Macaca fascicularis: one gene and its partners. The protein of the gene in region 2 purifies or fractionates together with the protein of the main gene of each other region. This does not show direct contact. Links are inferred from orthologs where the notes say so. Each region holds a gene or a part of one and is shown on either strand. Other genes may lie near its edges.

What was found.
Region 1: the proteins of CDC26 (region 2) and NEK2 purify together in Homo sapiens (affinity purification with mass spectrometry; 3 studies listed by BioGRID and IntAct, with this or other methods). This does not show direct contact. The link is inferred for Macaca fascicularis from reciprocal best matches to the Homo sapiens genes CDC26 and NEK2.
Region 3: the proteins of CDC26 (region 2) and ANAPC16 purify together in Homo sapiens (co-immunoprecipitation; 5 studies listed by BioGRID and IntAct, with this or other methods). This does not show direct contact. The link is inferred for Macaca fascicularis from reciprocal best matches to the Homo sapiens genes CDC26 and ANAPC16.

What each region holds. Positions count from the first base shown.
Region 1 is NC_088375.1:69,486,150-69,489,904, reverse strand, and holds the start of NEK2 (serine/threonine-protein kinase Nek2), read left to right. Parts: upstream 1-1,068; 5' UTR 1,069-1,216; coding exon 1,217-1,312; intron 1,313-2,151; coding exon 2,152-2,369; intron 2,370-2,954; coding exon 2,955-3,195; intron 3,196-3,755. UniProt on the Homo sapiens protein: Protein kinase which is involved in the control of centrosome separation and bipolar spindle formation in mitotic cells and chromatin condensation in meiotic cells.
Region 2 is NC_088389.1:44,830,748-44,833,059, reverse strand, and holds the end of CDC26 (anaphase-promoting complex subunit CDC26), read right to left. Parts: intron 1,015-2,312; coding exon 838-1,014; 3' UTR 582-837; downstream 1-581. UniProt on the Homo sapiens protein: Component of the anaphase promoting complex/cyclosome (APC/C), a cell cycle-regulated E3 ubiquitin ligase that controls progression through mitosis and the G1 phase of the cell cycle.
Region 3 is NC_088383.1:74,200,385-74,204,139, forward strand, and holds the start of ANAPC16 (anaphase-promoting complex subunit 16), read right to left. Parts: upstream 2,339-3,755; 5' UTR 2,284-2,338; exon of another isoform or gene 2,059-2,283; intron 40-2,058; exon of another isoform or gene 1-39. UniProt on the Homo sapiens protein: Component of the anaphase promoting complex/cyclosome (APC/C), a cell cycle-regulated E3 ubiquitin ligase that controls progression through mitosis and the G1 phase of the cell cycle.

The DNA of each region.
Region 1 (3,755 bases), on a different chromosome or scaffold from region 2:
CATGGGACTGTTCATTTGGCTGGGTAAGCTGGGAAAGTTGGTTTGTGTGGGTGCCTAACAAAGAATCTGTGTTCAATGAAGTATTGTCAATAGGGTGAATTATGTGTTTGGCACACATAAACGGGACAAGATGTGTAAAGTGCTTGGTCAGAGAGCGACTGTATTTCTTCTTCTTTTTTTTTTTTTTTTGGAGACTGGGTCTCACTGTGTCACTCAGGCTGGAGTGCAGTGGCGCAATCTCTGCTCACTGTAACCTCTGCCTCCCGGGTTCAAGCAGTTCCTCATGACTCAGCCACCCAAGAAGCTGGGATTACAGACATGCACCCCCATGCTCGGTTAATTTTTTTTTTCTTCATTTTTAGTAGAGACGGGGTTTCGCCATGTTGGCCAGGCTGGTCTTGAACTCTTGGCCTCAAGCAATCCCAATCCGCCTGCCTCGGCCTCCCAAAGTGCTAGGATTATAGGCGTGAGCCACTGCGCCCGGCCTAATTTTCGTATTTTCAGTAGAGACGAGGTTTGCTATATTGCCCAGGCTGGTCTGAACTCCTGGGCTCAAGCGTTCCACCCACCTCGGCTTCCCAAAGTGCTAGGGTTACGGGCGAGGGTGAGTCACGGCGCCCAGTCTAATTTCTAATTTGTATTCAGCTCTCAGCGTGTCCTCAACGTGACCCCACCCAGGTTCAGGGTACTGGAACCTGAGCGAGGAAGGCGTGTTCCGGGGAGAGTAGGTAGTGTGAGGGGCCAGAGTGCAAAGGTCAGAAGGCATTTGGTGGAAGCTGTGTGCAAAGAAGCCTGAGGGGAGGTCCTTCGATCTCGGTTACCTTGGCGATCTCTACCAGAGGGTTAGAGTTGCCAAGAGGCGCCTGCTGCCGCTTCCTTTCTCCCGCCCTCCCTTTGGTTTAGCTCCGCCCCCTGCTCCCACAGGTTAAAAGCAGACGCCGACGCGGCTGCCTAGTGACACTTTTCCCAAGATGCCTAGGGTATTGTTGTGTTCTTCTTAGCCAATCAGAGAGGCGAAGCGGGCCCACCGCCTGCCAATAGACTGCGAGATCAGGGCCCGCGACAGTTAAACGGGGCCGAAGGCAAGGGTGACTGGTTAGCGCTGCTCGGGGGCTTCTCCGTGCTGGTCCCTGAAGCTCCCGGTCCCGGTCCCTGGAGCTCCGCATTTGGGGGCGCAACCTGCGTGAGGCAGCGCGACTCTGGCGACTGGCCGGCCATGCCGTCCCGGGCTGAGGACTATGAAGTGTTATACACCATTGGCACAGGCTCCTATGGCCGCTGCCAGAAGATCCGGAGGAAGAGTGACGGCAAGGTGAGCGTGGTCCCTTCCCTGTGCCAGCCCCTGCTTAGGGGCGAGCGCCCTGCGCCACCGAAGGGAACCGAGAGGGCTGGTGAAGTGGGTGCCCGGAAGACTCAGCCGTCTTTACTGAGTCTGCATCTGACAGCCTGTCCTGGGTCGCTTAAAGGATGGGAGACCGCGTCTTTTGATATATGTATTTCCATCTTTTCCCGTTTCTCTCCCCATTTCTCTCTTCTGTTTTGGGTTGCTAAGGACCTTCCATTGGTGACACGTAGCTAACTCCTGAGCTGTTTTTAGAGCTCTAAGAGTGGCCCTCTCAGACACAAGAAAGGGGCAGGACCACCAGAACCCGAAGCTTTGTATCTGCAGTCAGACTCCCTCAAAATACCCATTATTCGGATTATTGGATTCATATTTCCCAATGTATACAGGTAGACCTTTTACAGAAAGTAATATTGGACAGGAAACTGCCTGGCTGCTTTTCCAAGGTGTCTCATCCTGGGAAAACACGACTGAGGTGGAATGGGGCAGGGACTTTGACCACCTCCACCCCAATTTTGACTAAAGTACCTTTTTGCCAACTTCCCACTAACCAACTGAGGGTAGGGGTTGGGGGAGACCTCATGTGCCTTATTCCCCTTTATCTCCCTACAACATCATTTACTGCTTAGAAATTGAAAGAAGATTATGGAAGTAAACTCACAGTTCTTTAAGTTCATTGAACTAAATTAGATAATGACCTTGATTGTAGGATATAATTAAAAGGAAGGTTATTTTTTAAATCTTGGAACTTTCATTCTTTGTTTTTGAGCGTAATGAGTTCATTCATACCTTGGAAATTCTTATTTTAGATATTAGTTTGGAAAGAACTTGACTATGGCTCCATGACAGAAACTGAGAAACAGATGCTTGTTTCTGAAGTGAATTTGCTTCGTGAACTGAAACATCCAAACATCGTTCGTTACTATGATCGAATTATTGACCGGACCAACACAACACTGTACATTGTAATGGAATATTGTGAAGGAGGGGATCTGGCTAGTGTGATTACAAAGGGAACCAAGGAAAGGTAAGCATAATCTTTTAAAAATGTAAGCTGAAATTAGGTCTACTTTCATTTATTTTAAGCATCTTGTTTTAGGATCAGTAATATGGAAGAGTATACTTGCATTTGTTTGGTAGGTCCATAGTACTTTAGAAAATTCCCGGTGAATCAACACCCATATTTTATATCAAAATAACAATCTATAGGCTGAGTGTGGTGGCTCACACCTGTCATCCCAACACTTTGGAAGGCCGATGCAGGAGGATCACTTGAGCCCAGGATTTCAAGATCAGCCTGGGCAACATAGTAGGACCCTGTTTCTACAAGAATTAGCCAGGTATGGTGACATGTGCCTGTAGTCTAAGCTACTTGGGAGGCTGAGGCAAGAGGATTGCTTGAGCCTGGGAGGTCGAGGCTGCAGTGAGCCATGATCGTGCCACTGCATTCCAGCCAGGGTGACAGAGCAAGGCTCTGTCTCAAAAAATATAAATAAATAAATAAATAATTTATTTCCCTATTAGTACACTGGATAATTTATATCATCCCATCTTGGCAACGATTTTTTTTTTTTTTTAGAAGTTATATGCTGTATAACTGCTTTGGTTTCAGGCAATACTTAGATGAAGAGTTTGTTCTTCGAGTGATGACTCAGTTGACTCTGGCCCTGAAGGAATGCCACAGACGAAGCGATGGTGGTCATACTGTATTGCATCGGGATCTGAAACCAGCCAATGTTTTCCTGGATGGCAAGCAAAACGTCAAGCTTGGAGACTTTGGGCTAGCTAGAATATTAAACCACGACACGAGTTTTGCAAAAACATTTGTTGGCACACCTTATTACATGTCTCCTGTAAGTATTTCAGAATTTAGATACTTTTTAAAACATCTTTTATTTTTGTTTTTTTGTTTGTTTTTGAGACAGAGTCTCGCTCTGTTGCCCAGGCTGGAGTGGAGTGGTACGATCTCGGCTCACTGCAACCTCTGCCTCCTGGGTTCAAAGGATTCTCTTGCATCAGCCTCCCGAGTAGAGTAGCTGGGACGACAGGTGCATGTCACCATGCCCGGCTAATTTTTGTATGTTTAGTAGAGACAGGGTTTCATCATGTTGGCCAGGCTGGTCTCAAACTCCTGACCTCAAGCAATCTGCCCACTTCAGCCTCCCAAATTGTTGGGATTATAGGCGTGAGCCACCGCTCCCAGCCAAAACATCTTTTAATGTTAAGCATTCTGAAGCAGGGAAATTGAGTTTTCTGTTTGTTTAAGAATTGAAAATACTGTTATATTTTTCCACATGGACCACCAGACCAATAAAGTCTATGAGTTTTTGTTTGCTTCATGAATTATGTGTAATAATGTAAGTATGATGAAGACAGATTCCTACTCTAAGGTTTGCTACTGTTTGTCATCTCT
Region 2 (2,312 bases):
CCAGCACTTTGGGAGGACTGTTGAATGCCAGCAGCTCAAGCCCACCTTGGGCAACATAGATCCCTGCCTCTACGTAAAACAATAAAAATTAAAAAAAAAAAATTTAACTCCAAAACATTAGGGCAACATTCAAAATTATCCTCTGAGCTGCCTCGCTGGTTCTTTCTGGGAAAAATGCTTAGGCAAGTTGAGAAAGGAAGGAAAGTTGGAATAATGGCAAAACTGTTTAGAAGCATTCCTCTTATTTCCCTCCATTGTCTGTCTTCCGAACATTGTACCCAAACTAGTTACAAAGCCATTCTGTAAAGAGATCTGGTACTTACAATTTCTTCAGATTTACACAATATCACTAGATTTTAATTTCTACAAGGGCAGGGATCTTTGTTGAGTGGCACATGGTAGGCACTCAATAAATACTTGTTGAATAGATGGGTTAAATGAAAGTGGCAGGGATCAACTAGAGTGTCCTGTGCTTAGGGTCTTTTAATAAAGATGGAAAGAATGATGTTAATCTTGTAGCAATTATCTTTTAAAGCCTGAGGGTTAACAGTGCTGTTATACTTCATTAAGGATGCCTCACATTTTTCCAAAAATATATTTATTTTTAAAAACAAAAACTCAGATCAGTTTTATAGAGTCAGATTTTCCAGAGACAAACCACAGTTTGGATTCCGGCTTAGCGTGCAAGTGAAGCATCAGTAATCTCATGCAGAAGGATTTGTCTCTGCAGGAGGTACATTCTGCTTGACTGCAAGCACTCAATTCTCTAAATCTGGTTTGTACTTCTGCCATCATTTTATTCCATTCCAGCGCTCTGGCATGCAAGATAATCCATCTCTAAAATTCAAGACTTCCAAATTGAGATGAACGATTATTGGGCTTGGGTTGGGGTTTATAACCAATCCGATCATTGATCATTTGTTCCCGGCTCTTGGGATCACTGCTGAGCCCAATGGCTCCTTCTCCATCACTGCCTCCTACAACTTCCACATCTTCCTTCTGTTTCTTACGGGTCTGAAAGTATAAACGTTTTAGGATTAAGGCAACATTCTTTCAATTAGCAAACGTTTATTTAGAGTACCTACCATGTACTAGGCATGGGGTAAAGGATAGAGTTAGGGTGTAAAGAACAATAAACTGAAATCCTAGGTTTGGAATACTTAGGGGCACAATGAGGATACGGTGTTAAAAGTTGTAACCTCTGATCGCTTGAGGTCAGGAATTCGAGACCAGCCTGGCAAACATGGCGAAACCCCATCTCTACTAAAAATAAACAATGTGGCCGGGCACAGTGAGTCACACCTGTGATCCCAGCCCTTTGGGAGGCCGAGGCGGGCGGATCACGAGGTCAAGAGATCAAGACCATCCTGGCCAAGACAGTGAAACTCCATCTCTACTAAAAATACAAAACTTAGCTGGGCATGGTGGCACATGCCTGTAATCCCACCTACTCAGGAGGCTGAGGCAGGAGAACCACTCGAACCAGGAAGTCGGAGGTTGCAGTGAGCCGAGATGCACTCCAGCCTGGTGACAGAGTGAGACTCCGTCTCAAAAAAAAAAAGATGTAACCCCTGCCCTCCAGGATGTCACAGTCTAATAGGTAAACAGGCAAAGAGACGATTATAGGGTGATCCGGGCTATGACCTATGACAGAGGGAAGTCAACACTGCCAAAGAGACGAGGTAAGGAGTTGGGGTGTGGTGGTACAACAGGAAGCTACAACTGGAAAGATGTAAGAGCAGACAAGGGGGAGCAAAGGGTATTTCAACAAATTTATTATTCTAGAGAATAGACAGAAAAATAAATTGACTGGTAAAGAAATAACCACCAAAAATCTATAGCCTAACTGATCCCATGAGATTAAAAGTAACATGAGAAGGTTTTATGCTATCTTATCAAAAGGTCTGGGTTTTGTGGCTTCATTTTGTTTTCAGATAAAAGGTTTGGTTCTTAAGTCACATGTGACTGCAGAATCCACAAAATATGTCTCAGTTTGATCATTTTCAAAAAGAAACACTTATCCCGTAACTGCCACTACCTGACTGTAAGGACAACAGATGATAACTTTCTCTAAGAGAGTGAAATGATGTTTTATCCAAAATTCCTTAATAATAATAGAATGGCTCAGCTACTCAAATCACTGGAATTACCACCATTCTTCACCACTTGCTGCTGGACTGTGGGCATTTAAATGCCAAGCATCGGGCTGACCGCAGTGGCTCATGCCTGTAAATCCCACTGCTTTGGGAGGACTGCTTGAGCCCAGGAGTTTGACACTAGCCTGGGCAACATAGTGAGACTCCATCTGTCCC
Region 3 (3,755 bases), on a different chromosome or scaffold from region 2:
CTCCCACTTCGGGATCTTTTTGTTCCTTGGTTGTCTTATCTGCAAAACGGGAAACAGGTTGAGTACCCTTCATCCCAAATGCTTGGGACTGGAGGTATTTTGGATTTCGGATTTTTTCCCAGGTTTTGGGATATTTGCATTATACGTAACGATTAAGCCTCCCAAATCCGAAAATCTAAAATTCAAAATGCTCCAAAAAGCACTTCCTTTGACCATCCCGTCAGTGCTCAAGTTTTAAATTTTGGAGGATTTTGGATTTCTAGATTAAGGATACTCAACCTGTAATAACATCACCTACCTCACACAGGTGTGACAAAGATTAATTAATACACGTAAAACACTTGGAATGGTTACAGGCTTAGTAAACACTTCATAAATCTTGGCTGTTCAAAATCATTAACGGAGAGTTACTCCTGAGTGTTTTTTCCTATGCAGATCCCAGTTTTTCATACTTACTATGAAAAAAATTCATGGAAAAAGTCTTAATTCTCTCCATCTAACAGAGTTAGCAAGCTCCCAGAGGGGAAAGAATCTGCTCAGGAGGAGGGCCAATACCTTCTATTAAGCACTTTACACTTTCATTTTTATTTATTTATTTTTTTTGAGACGGAGTCTCGCTCTATTAAGTGCTTCTATTAAGCACTCCAGGCTGGAGTGCAGTGGTGCGATCTCGGCTCACAGCAAGCTCTGCTTCCCGGGTTCACGCCATTCTCCCGTCTCAGCCTCCCGAGTTGCTGGGACTACAGGCGCCCGCCACCACTCCCGGCTAATTTTTTGTATTTTTTTTAAGTAGAAACGGGGTTTCACCATGTTAGCCAGGAAAATCTTGATCTCCCGACCTCGTGATCAGGCCCGCCTCGGCCTCCCAAAGTGCTGGGATTACAGGTGTGAGCCACTGCGCCCGGCCTACACTTTCATTTTAAGGTTCATGATCTTAAGAAACATCCTGCCACCTTCGAAGTCTTTCTACCCTCAATGCCGAGCACAGAACCTGGGTCACAGTGTTTCCACAGTGCTTCCTGAGCATTTCGGATGAATGAATGAAGAACAAATGACAGAACGCAGGGCTCAGCAAAGGTTATGCAGGAGATAGACAAGCGTGGTGTCATCAGTATTGGTTCATTACGGATTTTTTTTCTCATTGTGCAGATCTATTCGCACAACTCTATTTTCAACTAGTCTGAGAGGCCCACCGGAGGTGCTCAGTAATGTTCTGTTGAACAAATACTGATGAAGTATCCTGGGATTTGGCCCTGTCAGGGAAGTTGGGGCTGACAGTGGAGATCCTCACAGGAGAGTAACGATGCTTTGTGGACAGATTGCTGTGTCCGAGCTAAGATGCTTAAACATTTACTTCATGTACGGCAGGGATGACCTCGCATTCATAGTTTTTTTTTTTTTGAGACGGAGTCTCCCTCTGTCGCCCAGGCCAGAATGCAGTGGCACAATCTCGGCTCACTGCCAGCTCCGCCTCCCGGGTTCACGCCATTCTCCTGCCTCAGCCTCCCCAGTAGCTGGGACTACAGGCGCCTGCCACCACGCCCAGCTAATTTTGTTTTGTATTTAACACGGTGAAACCCCGTGTTAGCCAGTATGGCCTCGATCTCCTGACCTCGTGATCCGCCAGCCTCGGCCTCCCAAAGTGCTGGGATTACAGGCGTGGGCCACCGCGCCCGGCCTTCATAGTTTTATGAATATAAATTCCTTTCCTTTCTAACAGACATATGCCTATTTTCTTAAAAAGAGTAATTCCTTAAAAGTTCCTACCCTAGTACAAAGGCAAATCATTACAAGCAATCATTAAATTCCATCATCAAAAAATCGTTCCACTTCAAAACAGCTGGATTACAACCCAAACCAAACAGACGCCGCAGCTGTAACCGGGGGTGGGGTGGGCGTGGAGAGAGAGTGGCCAGAGAGGGGAGCGGTCAGAACACCAGCGGCTCCCAAGCTAACTCCTAGCCACATTTCCCACCCAGCTGGGTCCACAGGAAACGACGCCATCGGCGCTGTCCCACTGCGCAGGCGCCACCCCTTGGCCCGCATGCGCACTCAGTCAAACCCGGCCTGGGAAAATTTCCTGTCGCACGTCTGCTACAGCAGTCTCCTGTTTCTCCTCCTACCTTCTCCATTTTTCTAGTCCCTGCAGGTAGGATCCTAAGGGTTAACTCCCTTTTCACCAAGCTCCCCAGGGCCCTTCAGCCCTCGGCCTCTTACCTCAGCGGCTTTAGCACTTTCCCCTACAGCCCCGCCCCCAGGACCAGCCGGAGCGGTCACGCTCACCACGACGAGGACGGCGGCGTGCTCGCGCCTCCACGGAGGGGCCTGCGGCGAAGGCGGCGTGCGCGCGCCCGTGCCGTGGTGGGCGTGGCCGGGGCGGAGACGCGAGGAGGGGAGCCGAGAACGCGCTCGTGGAGAGGAATTCCGGTTCCTTTGCCTCCTCGCCGTACCTTGGTTTACCTGCAGCCGCCTAGTCCTCTTCTGCTCCTTCTCTTTGATGATTCGGGGTCTCGGCTTCCCTCACGATATTGCAGAAAGACACGGCTTTCCTCTTCCTCTCCAAACCACCTCGAAGCAGGGTTAAGTTGGTTATTCCCGCCTTTCCTTCCGAGCAGTCTCGTAGCGCAGGGCCATGTAGGACAGGTAGATGCTGCGTTTGCTGTCTCCGCGACGACTACCTGTTTTTCCGGAGCTCTTGTTCTGAGGGCCCGACTTTCACCTTAGTCTGCTTTTGTGGGGAACTTTTTTTTTTTTTAGCTTTCGCCTTGAAAGTGTTTTTTCATTGAGAACTTTAGAGGCCTCAGGGAATAGACCACTGGGTTGTGATGTCATCGACTATTGCTAATGATGTGCTCTTTTCCTCTATCCATGTCGGTTTACCTTCTATGTTGTTATTTCTCACAAAACCTCTTCTTGGTCCTGTAAGCACACAAATAATCAATTATTATTTTATTTTATTTATTTTTTTGAGACGAAGTCTCGCTCTGTCACCCAGGCTGGAGTGCAGTGGCGCGATCTCAGCTCACTGCAACCTCCGCCTCTCAGGCTTAAGCGATTCTCGTGCCACATCAGCCTTCCGAGTAGCTGGGATTACAGGCGCCCGCCACCAAGCCCGGCTACTTTTTGTATTTTCAGTAGAGACGGGTTTCACCATCTTGGCCAGGCTGGTGTTGAACTCCTGACCTCAGATGATCCACCCACCTCGGCCTCCCAAAGTGCTGGGATTACAGACGTGAGCCACCGCGTCCACGTTGGCTTGAGCGTTAGTGTATTTAGTAAGGATCAACTTGTTTTCTTTGGAACTCTTCAGTATTTTGGGCTTCAAGACTAAGCTGTACGTGGTAGGAATACTGGCTGAATTTAACTTCAGCTAGCCTATAAGGAACCTTTGTTTCCTAAATTATGGATCCATTAAGTGGTGTGACCAGAAGCTTGGCTTCTCAGTGAGTGATGTGCATTTTGTTGGGCAGTGGCCTGTAGAAACTGGATTCCTCCCCTCAGCAGTATATTGGTCTGAGAACCATATTGGTTAAGTTGTTATTAATTTACTGCTTTGACAGGCAACTGGAACTGATTGTTTTGTGTGAATTTCTAGCACCTCTGAAAGTACTTAGGGGCTTTTTTTTTTCTGGATGGTTAAGTGTATTAAATATCCCTCATTGTCTTTATCTTGCTAGATAGAGTTTGCTGGGCGCAGTGGCTTACTCCTGTAATCCCAGCACTTTGGGAGGCTGAGGCTGGTGGATCACCTGAGG